Linked DNA regions of Drosophila melanogaster. The protein of the gene in region 2 interacts with the protein of the main gene of each other region in a pairwise test. Each region holds a gene or a part of one and is shown on either strand. Other genes may lie near its edges.

Region 1 (8,230 bases), 6.0 Mb from region 2:
TTCTTTCAGCATTTTATAAATTCAGCTTTGGGAACTCCTTGAACCCTTAACAAAAAAGTATTTTCTCGTGAACATGATGACACCAGACAGATCTTTCTGAAATTAAGATAAAAACAAATTTAGTAACATATTTTTAAAGAAAAAAGAAAATAATATTGTTAATATCAAAGTAACTATATTATCATTCTTTTCTAGCTAAAAAAAAAAACAATAGGTTTCCTATAAACATCAATGTTAATCTTGTTGCTGCTAACATTTTAATGTTATGTTATCGAAAAACAAAAGTTAACAGTTGTTTCAAGTTGTGGCCACGCCTTTTCCGCCCCCTCACATGTAAAAAACTCGCAGGACATGCATTTTTAATGTTTTTGGAGAGAATCTCTTGTTAATTTTAGTTTTTCATATACCTTATTTAAATAACCAGTACAAACCTGTGCTATTGCATTCAGTCTTCGAGATCCAATTGTTTACTGTTTTTGATAAGAAGCCAACCGATTGGCCAGCTTAAAATCCTAGAGCCCCCAAAAGTTATTCATGTTTGCAGGAAAGTTTAGCCTTGAAAAATTTGTTTCGAGCCTAAATAATGTTGTTTATCTGGAAGATATTGTTTTAAAAGATATAAATTAGCACACACATGCACGCATACATGGCAACATATCGACAAAATAAACAACGAAAAGTGGGACCATTATATTATGTACATACATAGATTTTTGAGTAGGTGCTACATTGACCCACATATGTATGTATATATTTGAAACTAAATGGGACATTCCCACTTAGAAAAATAAGAAAATCACATTTTAAAGCTGTAACAGCAAGCATTTGCTTTGCATTTGAAGGGAATTTGTTAAGCAAAAGTAGAAATATTATGAATCTTTTTACAAACTTCCACTGTTACATTTTTGAAACCATTAAAAGCAAGCACTTTACATTCTAATATTTCGTTTCTCTTAAATCCACAAAATACATACACACATATATACTCTTATGTACACACGAAGTTGCCAATACGACAGTGCCATATGTACATATGTATATGTATGTATAAACAGTTCACATCTGCAGCCAAATACACATTCTTACAAGACTTTTTCCAGCATTTTTAACCGCTATTTAAATTGGACTATATTTTCCAAAACTCATTCATGAACAACATTGAAATGTTAAAATTACATGCACAAAAATAGATGAGCATATGTATAGAGAAACGCACTGTTGCACATGTGCAACTGAACATCTATTAAAATTTCTATACATGTGTACAATTTGCATTGAAAAACATTACAAGTTACGGTATAATGTTAACAAAGATATTCGAAATGTTTAGCCACCGTTTATAAATATTAATTATTAAAGCGTCCGCACGTATATCTCCAACATACATACATATGTATATACCAATATGTATACAGATTTATGTTCACTACGCACATACGTAAGATGTGAACTCGAGATGATTTTACCCGATGCACTTATGTTTCATTATATTTCGTTGGGGAAAATGTGTACCACACACACACTGCACAATCGTTAAATTCGCTCGGAAAACATACTCTTTGTTCGCCCCGTCAGTTTTACACAAGTTATGGCGTTTTCACTCGGTAACTTTCATTTACATTCATCAAGAACCAGAAGTCTTGAACTCTTATGCTGATTTGTGTCCGTTTGTTGCTACTGCATGTTGAATAATTCACATTTTATTTTAAGGTTTCATCAATTGATTATTTTATTTACATGCCAGTATTAAAATGTTCTGAAAATTAGTGTGCCCGTGTGAGAAAATTAATCGAAAAGACGGTATAGCAAGCGATTAAATATCGATAACGATATAATGGTGAAGTGCTGTTGAAATGATGCAGTCAACCAAAATATTTGATTATATTTGCCAATTATGCAAATATAAATCGGCAGAGAAACATTATTTTCTCAGAAATGTATCCAAAAAGCCAGGCTTACACAGACAATATGCCACCGTTAGTCTCTCCAAATATCGATAACTTCTGTTTATACATTGCTTCAACTGAAGGGTTTAAGGTCGCTCTTATCGAAATCTGTAAAAGCCCGATTTTTGCCGATAACAATACCATAGAATCAGGCTCATTTAAAATTATTTGAAAACTTTAACAAGTTATGTAATCATTCAAAAACCAATCGACTTAAAAAAAATATCGACACATTTCTGTTATATATATATTACTTCCAAATATAGCAAATGAAAAAAACAATTTAAAGTAATACTCATACTATTTTAGGTATTTCAACGGTTTATACCAAATAAAAAGGCAAAAATAAATATTTAAATGCTTATGAGTCGGCATTTTTAAAACTACACACAGAGTGAAACTTTATTCAACAACAGTAAACATATTTATGTGTATAATGGATGTATTATATTAATAATTTTCCAATGTGGCTGGTAATTGAAGAGCGAAAACAGTAGCATTTCAGAGCATAGCGCATATGTATGTAGGTGATGCTCCACCGGGGAGCAATATATATATAAGTTATGTGATGCCATTTTCAGGCCGTTTCTGAAGTGTCTCACCCCATTCTACCGCGCCCTAATCTTTAACTTTTACGTAGAGTGTGGGTGGGTAGTGTTCTTGGTGTTCCACATTTAATCCTTGCTCTGCATGTACTTGATCAGGTCGATGACGCGGTTGGAGTAGCCAAACTCGTTGTCGTACCAAGAGATCAGCTTCACGAACTTGTCGTTTAGCGAAATGCCAGCCTTGGCATCGAACACCGACGAGTGGGTGTCGCTGAGGAAATCGGTAGAAACGACCTCCTCATCGGTGTATCCCAGGATACCCTTCAGGGGTCCGTTGGCGGCCTCCTGAACCTTGGCCTTAATTTCATCATAGGACGCACCCTTGCCCAAGCGCACGGTCAAATCGACCACGGAAACGTTGGGAGTGGGCACACGGAATGCCATTCCGGTGAGCTTACCGTTGAGGGCGGGGATAACCTTGCCCACGGCCTTGGCAGCTCCAGTGGAAGCTGGAATGATGTTCTGGGCAGCGCCACGTCCATCACGCCACAACTTGCCGGAAGGTCCATCGACGGTCTTCTGGGTAGCGGTGGTGGCATGAACGGTGGTCATCAGACCCTCGACGATCTCGAAGTTGTCGTTGATCACCTTGGCCAGAGGAGCCAAGCAGTTGGTGGTGCACGATGCGTTGGAGACCACCTTCATGTCGGGCTTGTAGGCATCCAAGTTGACGCCGCAAACGAACATGGGAGCATCGGCGGATGGGGCCGAGATGATAACCTTCTTGGCACCGCCCTTCAAGTGAGTGGATGCCTTGTCGATGGTGGTGAACACGCCAGTGGACTCCACGATGTATTCGGCACCAGCGCTGGCCCAGTTGATGTTGGCCGGGTCGCGTTCGCTGAAGACGGTGATCTTCTGGCCGTTGACCACCAGGAAACCGCCCTCGGCGGCAACGGTGCCCTTAAAACGTCCGTGGGTCGAATCGAACTTGAACAGGTAGACCATGTAGTTCACATCGATGAAGGGATCGTTGACGGCCACAACGTTGGCGCCCTTATCAATGGCGGCGCGGAGAACCAAGCGGCCGATGCGACCAAATCCATTGATACCAATCTTCGACATGGTTAACTTTTTGTTTATCTGGAAAGTAATGTATGTATATGTAAAGCAGTTAGTACTTGGAAAGTTTTCCGCGGAATTGAGGGAAACACTACCTATCGGCTTGCTTGCAAGGAATCGACTGTGATGGCTGAGAAATTTTGAGCGCTTTCTATGGGCGAAAACTCGGGCGAAAAATTGTTCAAAGTCAGATGAAGGACGTGCATGTCAAGCTCGAGAGCGGCTACCGCAATAAAAAAGAGCTTTTGCTCTCAGTAACGTGAAAGCTCAATGCTACCCAATAGACTTTTTGCAAGCATCATTATATGAATATAATAAGTAGATATGTACATAAGATACGCTTAACTTTAAAAACTTCTGATCTTAGACAGTTAAAGTGACCTATAAAGTATATGGATTTTTTAATTTATACGGACAAATGTTTATTGGGATATTTTTATGGCCATTTCACCTGCTCAATTTTGTTGACGGAAGTTGAGCTTTCTTGTGAGCTTAGTTGCCGGCAATTACATACGTGCATATATAGGCACACGAAACATACACATATATGAGCACGTCTGATGAACATCAATTGGTTATATTGTACATAAATATGTACATAAGTAAATGCAAATGGAAAAATCCTAACATCCCCACATAAATACATATTCATCAATTTCATTAATATTAAAATTTAGAGGTCATATTCTGAGCAAATTGAAGTTTCGCCGGTACGTGACATTAATCTGTACAATACATGTACATATGTACAAAGATACATATACATGTAAATATGTATATATCTTCTATGCATAACTACAATATTAGATGAAATAATTGTCTAAGTAATTAAATTATCCGTTTTGATGATTTCATTTAAGCAATTGTGCTGTTGTCATCCCATTGTTAAAATGAAAAACACCTGACAGCTCAAGTAGGCATCCAAATTTCATGAATTTTAAACGCTAATGGTAATAAATAGTGTTAGTCACAAAATTCCATGTACCCATAACAACGAAATTGTATAACTTTATGATGAAAACTAAGTGAATGTGACCTTTTGAGTCACGCAGAATTCATTTACCTTTTTTTATTATATATAAACATGTATATACATATGTTCTTAAAATCAGCAGATCCCGTTTATATAAATATTAAAACATATGTATACGAACGATATATAATCAAAATCAATTAATTTGGGAGTATTTTATTCATACAATCATTTGTAGTAAAAAAAAAGGTATCTGCAAATTAATCATTTCTCCTTCCCCAAACTGAATAATCGATATTGTAATCATTTAACATTCTTTTTATTCTTTTCATTCTTTTTATATATTTATCGATTTGTTTTCAGTGCAACCCTTAATTATGAACATAGCAGTGAAAATTCAAATAAGCGCGCCAACATTAAAATGTTGAAATATGCAATTTGACAAGAACTCAACATTTCTGTTGCCTTATCTTTTACATTTTATAAATTATTTCTCGAATAAGTATTAAATATTTTAGTGCGTCATGTTTATTTATTAATACTTGGGCTGGGCAAAAAAGTTCGTTCCTTTTCAGTGAGTCATCGGTTTTACTGATAAGCAAACATTTCACTTGTTTTTTAACCTCTCATCTTTATATTGTTGAAACGATAAATGTATTTCAGCTTGGTGCTAAATTATTGCAGCAAAGTCAAAAACAATGCTTACATCTTACCATTAAGATCCATTGAAAGATGACTTCTAGATTTATACATTACCGAAAAAAAGGATCCGATTAGAAAAGTATCCCTGAAAGTGAATAAAACACCTGCCAATGTTGTGGAAGTCTTACTGTCCTTCGAGTTTGTGGGGTTATTGCCTTTTATGCTAACATCCCAGGATGACTTCCTAACCTAGAAACCCCATTACAGATAGAAGCTTCTTGACGTCACGAGCTGAAGTAGGCTATCTATGTTTATTTCTCTATATAAAGAAGGATAGTTCGCCTTTCTATGCGTACTATATCAGAAGATATATCTCTGGATCTGGTCAAAGATATCACAATTATGACTGTTGGAAATTAACTACAATTAATACCGATTGTTTGCATATCAAGTTCATTTTAATATATCAAGCTTTTATATAAAAGATATCATATTAGTACCACATTCGGCAATAGTTTCGTTATGAATCCCCGAACTGCAAACTAATTGCGACTACAATGTGGCAGGCTAAAGTTGATAGAAAATGAGCGGGTGGTTTGATTGAAAAAAAATTTAATTTGATTGCATATAAATGTATGACTATTAGCATGCCAGTTTTATTAACCCGTTAATCCTGACAGACCAAACTCTTAATTAATGTTTTCGGCATGTACATATGTGCACACGTACATTAAATGATATATGTATGTAGCATTTGCTTAACACAATTTTCTTTATTATTTATTCTAGATATAACGCTGAGTTGACGGCTATGACACAAATTATAAATTAATGTTAGTAATCTTCAGTTTTTTCATTTAAATATGTATGTTTGTATGTATGTTTATTACATGACCATGTTTTATTTTATTTAAATTTTCAATTTCTTTTTCTTGACAGCATTTTCTGTTTCCATTTTTTGTTTTCTTCTCAATTATTGTTAATAACTAATTACAAATAAATAATTTCATCGAATTTGCCGATTTGTCGTCGGCAAATAAAACAGTAATTAAATTACAAATCAAATTACGCGCATATATGTGCGCATATATATGATCGCGTGGCATATACATACATATATATAAACATAACGTATACGTAATTAAATTTGCACGGAAACACACATACATAGAGAAGGGTTCTGATATTAACATACTTGAGGGATGCGCGTTCTAATAACAAAGTACTCTTAACAAAAAAAAAATGATTAAAAAAGAAATAACACGTTACTTTGTTCCGTTTTGGGCTGTGATAGAAAAATAGTTTAATTAAACTTACTGCTGGAGTACAAAATTCCTGACAATTCGTAAAGTGCGTTCGTAATTATGCAATTATGTATGTATTTTGTATTATGCATTATGTATTATTAACCTTAGATGGACTTACTTTGGCGCATTTTTAATAATCGCAAAATAGAGCGGTTGATCAACACGTTAATTGCTCCTTGTTTAAGTTAAACAATAGGATTATCGTATTCGTATTATATTTTATTATTTAAATGTTACAAAGGTTTCTTTTCATAATTTATTCATAGTTTTGAAACAGCATTAGTTTTGAAATGGCCGTCCAGAATGTCCAGAATGTACTAAAATTAAGTAAGTCCATCTATGGCGAAAAAGCAGAGCCCAAATAACTGCAGCTGTTGTAAGCTTACCAATAGTAGTTACACATATACATAGGAATATATTCGGTTCAATATAATCAATCAAGCATCGAAAGTCGTTAGAAATACACAATAATTCTGTCCATTTGAAATGTTTTCATTTCGATTTTTTGATTCGTCTGGGTTTTTGGTTTTCTGGATTCTGGATTCGGTTTGGATTTGTTTTTTGTTTGCGGTTTAGGTTTAGATTTAGATTTAGGCTAATTCTCGTTGCTTGAAAAACTATTCACTTTAAATCACAATTTACCATTTACCTATCGGACCAAGATACTATAACGTTAAAGAATACTTCAAGAAGGTCAATAAACCAATCAGTTTATTACAGTTTTCAATGAATTTTGGTATTGCTAGGATCAGATTTCAGATCTTTGATTTCAGAATGCTGGAATCGGTATTGGTATTGGTATCGGTTTGGGATGGGTATCCGCGAATTTCCTATTACCACTTAAAATTAATTAAAAAGAACATAATAAAAATAGATAAGAACTTGATGATTCGGTATATTCGTAAGACAGCAAGACAATATCAGTATTTTCACAATATAAGCTTTAGTTTTTGTTTGCATTCTACAATCGTTTCGCTTCGTTTCGTTTCGTTTGCTGCATTTTCAAACCTTATATAAGCCATATATGTAAAACCTCATAGGAATTTAGGATAAGAATAAAATGAACAAAATTCAACAGTATGCAATTAGAGTTAGATTAGTGAGGTGAGGTGAGGTGAGTTGAGTTGAGGTGAATGCTCAAATTATTTCCATGATGCTTTAATGCTTTAATGCCCTTACTGCCGCAATTCTATGAATGTATTTGTTAAGATTTTGTTAAACATTTATAAATGTATTATAAGATTTAAAGGTGTTTTTCAATTTATTGTTATAGCTTATATGGCCATCATATTATATATAAATAGTTTTCCACTTTTTCACTAATGCATAGTTTACATATATGTTATTTAAATCATTCTTATTTTTGTTTGTATATAAATTAGGGACTTAAACATAATAAGACAAAAATTTGTTATAGTGTTTTCTTTACTTTTTTTTTGTTTTGTTTTGTTTTCATTACTTGATTTATAAAGTTTATTACGCAATTTTTGTTTTTGTTTCTTGTTTGGTTTCCTCCATCTTCATCTTCTTTTCTTTCTCATTTTTGTTTTCTTTTGTTTTGCTTTACGTTTAGGTTTGCCGTGATTCTTTTTTTATTTTATTTTTTTTAAATGCTTTAACTTTATTTGACTTCTCCACCATCCCCACCTTGCATCAGGATCATCCACATCCACACATTCTGAAGTTTTATGT
Region 2 (8,230 bases):
CGTGTCTCAAGTGCGCCCCTCTCTTTTGGCCCCACATATGCCGGTCTCTTTCCACCGAATATAGCCGTCCCTGTCACGCGGTAGTAGTGTTTGTCTGTTGTAATTCACGAAATTGCCAGCAATCGATATAAACATCAAGTCCCAATGCGTTTCGATGTCGCCCCCTCTCTTTCTTTTTTGCTCGCCTGCTATCTCCTTCTGCGCTTCATTGTTGTTGCTGTCGGCTTCTGGCCATGATCCTGTTGACGTTTTGCTCTTGTTGTTGTTGTTTTGGTAGCTAGTCAAGTATCGAGTATCGAGTACTTGGGAGGAAAACAAAAATTGTTTGCCTGGCTTGTTTTTATTTTCATTTTAGTGCTGGCGAAACTGACATTGATGATGATTATTGGGAGTAAATAGAATTGAAAATGCCACCAGTAACCTCCTGTGCTCCTTGCTACGTTCTCAAGGCCCAGGACACGTGTGAGTATCAACATCTATCCTGGCGTCTATATAGACAGCCCCCCCCCCCCTTCCCCAATTCCCCTCAACTACCATCCTTCGCATAATGCGCGCAAATAAATTGCAAAATCAATTGAGCGGTAAAATAGTTTCCCTTCGCGGAAGATAACAACAACAAATCGAAAGTCAATGCTGCTGCCACGCCCACACCATCGCCTGCGCCTGAAAAGACTGAAAATTGAAGCCGGGAAAATAGGAAAGCAGGAACCGAACTCCACTCCCACTCACATGGTAACGCCGAGCACTTTGAACTCGCTTTATTTTAAGCCTGAAAATGGAAAAATATAGAGAAAGGAGGCGTGGCAGGGCAAAATGAAAATGGAGCAGCAGATGTTGGTTTATAATAAAGTATAAATAAAGAACAGTATTTCTATTTCTTTTAAATATTTTAAAAACTTTCTTTAATCCTCTTCGAACACAATTATCTAACCAATATGGTACTGCCAAATATTCCTTAATTTCTAGCCGCTCCAATTGAATTTATAATTTTATTAAAATATCCTAAATGAAAATGGTGAGCCCTGGCTAGCTAATGGTTATGTTCCAGCAAGTCTGCTGCATGAATTTAATCTAATTAAAATCCTGGGAAATACCCCGTAATTATTCCCACTCGTCGGCGACTTGTTGCATACTTTAAGGAGCCTTTAAGCTGTCGCATTGCTAAGAGTCGGTCGCATTACGCATACGCCGCATTGTGCTGCGGCGGTTGGCTTTGGATTCATTAAATGTTATAAACTCATTACGCGTTTTGTCTGCCCGAATGGATATTGGATGAAGGGTGTGATAGGAGCTGAGGTGACAGGTGGTGGGTGGTGGGTGGTGTGTGTTGGGTGTTGGTGTGGTGTGAGTACACCCGAGTTGAACGAGAGTTGTTGGTTTGCTGTAATAACCACAAAACATCTGCGAGCACCACATACTCGCACACAGTTGCAAATGAAAATCTTTGTGCAGAATTAATTAAGTAAACAATACGAAAATTGTGGAAATTGCTTTGAATGCGTCCCCAAACACTCACACATAAGCTGCTTGGCCACACATACATACGTATATGCAAAAGTTATTGCCAGCAGCTGTTGTTGTTGCTCTTGTTGTTACACATTATTATTATGATGCTGCTTAATAGGCAACGCAACTGTGGGCAAAGCAGGCGGCTGGGGGCGCCTTTTGGGGGCATCACAGCCCCTTTGGCCCCTCCCCCCCTCCTAATAACAATCTAGCCATTGTCTGCGGCAACAATTAAGCCGCACTCTGCCTTAATGATAGAGCCACATGAAGAAAATGGCCAAAACAAAGGAGAGCAAAACTCCAAAGTGCATGAAAGGAAACTCGAAGAAAATGGCTGGGAAAATTCAGCGAGCATTTGGGGGGCGGACAAAAAACTTTTGATCATTCATGAATATTTAATCGGAAAAGCGATTGTCCCACTTCGCCAAGAACCAAATTAAATTCATGCATACAAACTATATGCATTTTATTACAATATCCGTAGTATATAAAGTTTTTTTTACATTTAAAGTCGTTTATTATCTCTTTAAAACGCATTTTTCAAGACCTAATGTCCAGTGTTCTTTTCTTCTATCATTCATTTAAGCATTGATCATTGTTTAGCTTTCATTTTAGGCATTTATCATTCAATTTACAAACTTTGAGATACATTCCAATCGGCACGTCTTTACCATACATTTTTTTTCGGCCGAATTGATAGTGTTGAACATAGAGTTGACATTGAGGCCAGATAAACAGAAATACAGGTGGACAGCGGAAAGAAGCTACAGATAGATATGCAAATCGATCGACTGCCAAAAGCAGAAATCGCCAAAACAAAGCCAGAAGAAAGAGGGGAAGTAGAAATGGTGATAGTGGACGATTTGAAGACGAAGCTTTGGGGCTCTCCCAAGATTTAGATGAAAAACAATGGGGCGAAGACAACGAAATTCGTTTGGCACTTTACTTGCGCATCATTAGCGTTATTCTCTCTTTGCTTTCGTTTAACACATATTGGTTAGAAAGCTCGGCCAAAAAGATAAAAATAATACGGTTGGCGAGGGGCGGCAGAGGGCGGGATTATATTATGGTTTATCTCTTGTGAGCTGAACATATTTTATGAGCGCGACATAAAAAAAAAAAAAACAGCGTTTTGGGTCAAAGTTTGTAAGTTCTCCGCCATTTGGGTTGTCGTAAAGGCACTGAAAAAAATCGACGGGCAATCAAATCACTTAAAATATAATAAATATCAGAAAATAAATATTAGCATAGTTTTCAAGTATGTAAAGAGGTTTTTGAGTATATGATGTTTAAGTATTAAGTATTAAGATTACATCCATTCTGCTGACAACTCCCTTTCTCTCACTGCATCGAGAAAGCGTGTGCCCAGATCAACTCCCTCTGAAGTTTATGGCTGCACTAAAATTAACCTATTCGATCCGAGATGAGGCCTGAATGCGCCGCCTTGTCTTTCGGTTTTATTATCGATTTCGATGCTGTGCGGTTTGCTCAGCTGCCAAAGTAAACTATAAGCTATAAACAACAGCCATGACAAGACAGAAATTCGTCGCTACCGTTTGCTGGATTCTATGTCAAGATCAGTGAAGTGCCGAGTACCGAATACCAAATACCAAACACCGAAAAACCCAAAGCCGAATTCCCAGCCGAAAGAAATCGAAATCGAAGTCAAAAAGTCGTTACAAGCTTTTTTTGTACTTTCACTTGTGCAAACACGCGGCCAAGAACGCCAAAGATGTTTAGAGCTCTCGGAGAGCAGGGTCATCAGCATCACATACACTGCGCGAAAATACGAGAAATTCATGTACTGTGCATCTGTGCTATATTAATGTATCTCAAGGCATAATGCTGTTGAAGGTGTTTAAACTAAGTTATAAAATTCATATATTTAAGAAATACTTTATACATATTTATATCTGATCTTTTAATATATTATTTCTAGTGCTCTTCAGAACCATTACTATGCTTGCTTGTAATTTTCCCAAGTGTACTTTTCCATCACGATCATCAGCGTCATGATGATCATCGTCTTCACGGGTCTTTTGGAGTTACAAGCGAGTCGAGTTCTTCAGTAGCCAGCCACGGGGCAAACCATTCGGTCCAGAAGAGCGTGTCTTAAGATCTCGGTTAACTCCCCCAGTTCTTCGCTCCTCTATTTCTTTTTTTTTTCTGGTGTTGCTCAGTGACAGTGAGTGTGCAAGTGTGTGTGGTGTTTTCGGTGGTGCATGACCCTTTGACCGCATGCCCGGTCACGTGAACCACCTTCTGCTCCTTGGCTGCCTGCTCTGCCTGCTCGGCGATGTGCCGAGAATCGAGGCTTTCCACCGCTGGAGTCCCATGATGAAGGCCTTCCGCTATCTCCAGGAGACCATGCTCCGGAATAGCCTGGAACGTGCCCATCTCAATCATGGCATCGTCTTCGAGTGTCGCACCATGTAAGTGGGTGTAGGTTTTGTATTCAGCTTTATTCATCTGTTCTTCAATTTTAAAGTTTTTTCAAACAATTTTATAGTTTCCATAATAAATGCGTATTTTTAGCTAAGAACTTCGACTTTTTTCCAGATCAGCTAAGGATTTTGGTAATGAAGTGCATTTCAATCTGCAGCTTGGAGACCTTCGAGGATTTCGTCGCCTCGATCCTAACAAAAAGTTGGCCCTATTTTTGCACGGCTGGAATGATCAGGGCAGCAAGGATTGGGTGCAAGAGTTATTGCTAAGTATGTATACTCACCTTATCCACATAATCATCATTCGAATTTCGGTTCTTATACCCAGCTTGGACCCTATTCGACTCCAATTACAATGTGTGCGTTGTGGACTGGGGAAATCTGTCGCAGAACGACTACAAGTCCGCATCCATGTCCATTTTCGATGTGGGTCTAACGGTGGCTGGAATCATCATGGCCCTGGAGGAGCTGCGTCCCAATCACTTTCATCGAAGCAACGTGACCTTGGCGGGCTACAGCTTGGGTGCCCATGCCGCTGGATATGCGGGCGCAGTGTTGGAGGGTCAGGTGGAGCAGATCATAGGCTTGGATCCCGCTGGACCGCTGTTCTCGCTGCCCGCCGAGGTGGCGCCCAAGTACCGCCTGGATCCAGGAGATGCGCAGTTCGTCCAGGTACTTCACACTTCCGGCGGCTCCTTGGGCACCAGTCTGAAGTGCGGCCACGCCGATTTCTATCCCAACGGAGGCAGGGCGCCGCAAACGAATTGCAAGATGTTCGCCAATCTGCGTGACATGCAAAATACCAGTAAGTCAAGGCCATCTATATCATAGGATTATTTCAAAGATAAGCCGCTTATTTAATATGTAATCTCGCTGAAGAGCTATGAAATAAGATACAAACCATTATCATTCGGCAGATCCCGTTTCCTGCAGTCACTCGGCGGCTGCGATCTTCTTCCGGCAATCGATGGATCCCGAGTACCCGTTCGTGGGCTACGAGTGCGGCAGCTACCGGGAATTCGCCGCCGGATATTGCGATGGCAACCGGAAGGCGCGCTTCGGTATCCATTCGCAGAGGCGTGCGCAGGGTAGCTTCTATTTCCGCACCGCCCCCCAGCAGCCGTACGTGCCGAGGCGTCAGACCAACTGGCTGAGCGGGGTGGGGCGAATGTCGTCGAGCAAGGTCAGTCAGGTTAGCCAAAGCCCCCTGGTGCTGCGCCTCTGGACGAACAGCTGGCGGCGGCGCGAGCGAGCGAGAGAGCGACAGCGAAGAGACAGAGACAGAGAGAGTGATCGCTGTGCGTGAATAAGTAGTTCCTAGTGTTTTGTTAGTGTTAAAATAAACGCAGCCTAAATGTATGCAATCATTTTATGATGGAAAAGAGACGTGACAGCCTAAGGGTTAATCAACAATCAACAGCACATTGTTGGATAAAGTTTACTGTAATAATATGTCTAACAAAACAATGTATTTTCATTTCACTTTATTTTGTGCTGCGATTCTATTTATAACTCCCACAAACCAATATTCCTTAAAAAAAACAGATGATACTTAAGATACTTAAGCTTACTTAAAATCTCTAGCGAGTTCATCGTAATTCGCCGAAGTTTCTCACAAGAATATAAATCTCTAGAGCGTTTTTATTTTTTTTTTTACTCTTAACGAACGTAGCAGTAAATATTTCCGTTCAATTTGGCAGCCAGCCGGTTTTCGCCATGTTCTTGTAAACTGCATAAAAAATAACAAGAAAGCCAAACGGCCAAACACACATGGAAAAGTCGTTGACTTGCAGCCACAAAACGGCGAAAAGTCGGCTGCATTTAACAGTTAATCGTAAAGCAAAATTGTGAGAGAAAAAGAAAATAGAAAATGGAAAATGGAAAATGGCGGAACAAGAACAAGCAGCAGAAAACAATAAACTGAAATTCAATTTTCGCATTGTAAAACATAATTTTCTACAAAACTTGACGTCAGCTTGGCCCGCTTTTTGCTAAAAGGTAGTTAATATTTTTGCAGTCCATTGCGGCCGTGCCCCGCCCCCGCGCCCCTCTCACAGCACCGGAAAAATAAGTATGTACTCTAGTAGAAAAATCAAAAAAACTATTTAAGTCATATGTTTGAGTACAAAATTTATTTAAATATCATGTAATAAACAAACATTAAATATAAATCCTAATTTTTTAATAATATTGTTATTAAACTAGTTGTTTGAATTAATCAGTCCGCTACTTATATGTTACAACGTTTTTTCGTCGAGTGCAGCTATCCCGTTGTACATTCCACTCGAGTTGTTCTTGCTTTTTCCCGTTGCTCCTTGCCACTGTTGTTGTTATCGTTGTTGTTGCTCCGCCTGCTGCTTCCTGTTTTGTAGCTGTTTTTGAAATTTATGGCGGCGTCGTCGCCTCTGCCGGCGTCGCTGCCGCCGACGACTTCTTCGCATGAGTTATGCGCTTTTTATTTCCAGCTCCTGGCCACGTTAAGTGTTAAATTGTTTTATGCATGCACGTGTGTGGGAGAGAGAGAGAGAGTGAGCAAGAGAGGTGTCAGTAGTGGTGGAGAAAGGGAGGGCGAATAGGAAGCTCGGACTCGCCATTTAATTATGAAAGTTGATTTCAAGGAATAGCGAAAGCGGGAAAGAGAAAGCCAATGGAATGTGTGTGGCTTTTGGTCAAGTGTTAGTGTTGTTAGTGTTGCAACAGGATAAGAAAAAATTTGAATGAAATTCTAAAAAAAAGCAGCACACAGAACTATTATCTAAACGGTCGCACCTTTTAGATTTGAAATGGTGAAATGGTGAATGGCATTTGACAACATTTAACTTTTAAGACACATAAATACAAAACTGTTTACAATTCCTTGAGCCTTGTACACATAATGGAAAATAATAAACTCATGAAAAACTCATGAAATTTAAGTGCTCTTTTTAAACTTATACCGTTTAAGCAGTATATGTGTTTTATTTGTTTTTATTGCCCTTAATTTCTGGGCAACCAAGCAAAGGTGAATAAAGGGAAGGGAACAAGAGGGAAAAGGAGCAGTTTTTTGTGCTCCGCTGACTCGAACCGCTAAAGTAGCACGCGTTAATGCGAAAATCACTTACACACACACTCAAACACACACACACACACTTGCAGTGGTGTGCGAGAGAGACAGGGAAGAAACTCCTGTAAAATCTAAAGCAAATTAACGTTTTAAACACCTCAAAAGTTTCGTGCATTCTCATGGTCCTTAACTCTAAGACCCTCTCTTTCTTTTTCCTTCGGCCGTCTCATTCTTTTCTATCCTACCCTCTCATTCTTTCCTAGCCCGCCCTCTCTATTCATTGCACCTGACGTCCTTGCTGATCCTGGCGCAAAGTTAAGTGTTTCTTTAGCTTAATAACGGAAACATTTTAGTTGCTGTTATGGAAAGCAGCTGGAGAATGGAGACTAGAAAGAGAGGTATAGAGGGCTGCACAGAGAGAGAGGCCAGCAGGCAACTTGAGCGATAGACGCTTACACATAAACACATTCAAACGCTTCCGGCAATGTGTAATAGCTGTACAAGGACGAACTGCTCCTGCTCCTGTGGAAAATGTAAAAAAAAAAGTACTCCGGAGAGGTGGAAGCGAGGAAAGAAAGGAATGCCCTCCAGTGGCTGTAAATAACTCGCAGCAGGTGCCGTCCTCATCCAACGGTAAACGTCCGACGTCCAACTCCCTGCTACGTCCAACTCCCCAATTCCTGAAGACATCGTCAATGGGAAAACCTGCGAAATACCAAGGATAGGGGCGACAGACAGAAAGGACCCGCCAGAGAATTGCACAGCTCGAAAATAACATCCGATATCGCTTTCAGACGATAAAATAGGCAAAGGCAAATATACTTGGGAATTCAATTTTCTAATGATATATAATGCTATCAAATGAATATGAACACAATATCGGCTTTATGGGTTTTTATTGTTTTGCATTTCGTTTAACATTTTTAACAGTCTCAAAAGGATTTACATTTTTGTAAGTGTGCCAAAGGAACATCGGCTAGCGGCAACATTTTCTTTTGATTACACGGCGTGTGGTCCTACCATTGTTCTCCCCACCACCCACACTCTACCCACTTGGAAAACCCCATTTTCCACCGCCCATTTCCCACAGAGGTCCCCGCATAAGTGCAAATGAGCATGAAAGATGAAATATTAAGAGTCGTCTTGGACTTTGGTTTTTTTTTTTCATCTTTGGGTCCTGACTCCTAAGGGATTCCACTTCCCACCTCCTGCTTCCGCTTCTTCTTTGGTCGCTCCA

What was found.
Region 1: the proteins of CG1986 (region 2) and Gapdh2 interact in a two-hybrid assay, tested with the Drosophila melanogaster proteins (one large-scale study listed by BioGRID).

Annotation. Positions count from the first base shown.
Region 1 is NC_004354.4:15,863,725-15,871,954, reverse strand, and holds Gapdh2 (glyceraldehyde 3 phosphate dehydrogenase 2), read right to left. Parts: upstream 3,811-8,230; 5' UTR 3,712-3,810; intron 3,638-3,711; 5' UTR 3,620-3,637; coding exon 2,621-3,619; 3' UTR 2,294-2,620; downstream 1-2,293.
Region 2 is NC_004354.4:9,906,470-9,914,699, reverse strand, and holds CG1986 (uncharacterized protein), read left to right. Parts: upstream 1-3,573; 5' UTR 3,574-3,744; coding exon 3,745-3,938; intron 3,939-4,065; coding exon 4,066-4,220; intron 4,221-4,278; coding exon 4,279-4,755; intron 4,756-4,867; coding exon 4,868-5,256; 3' UTR 5,257-6,037; downstream 6,038-8,230.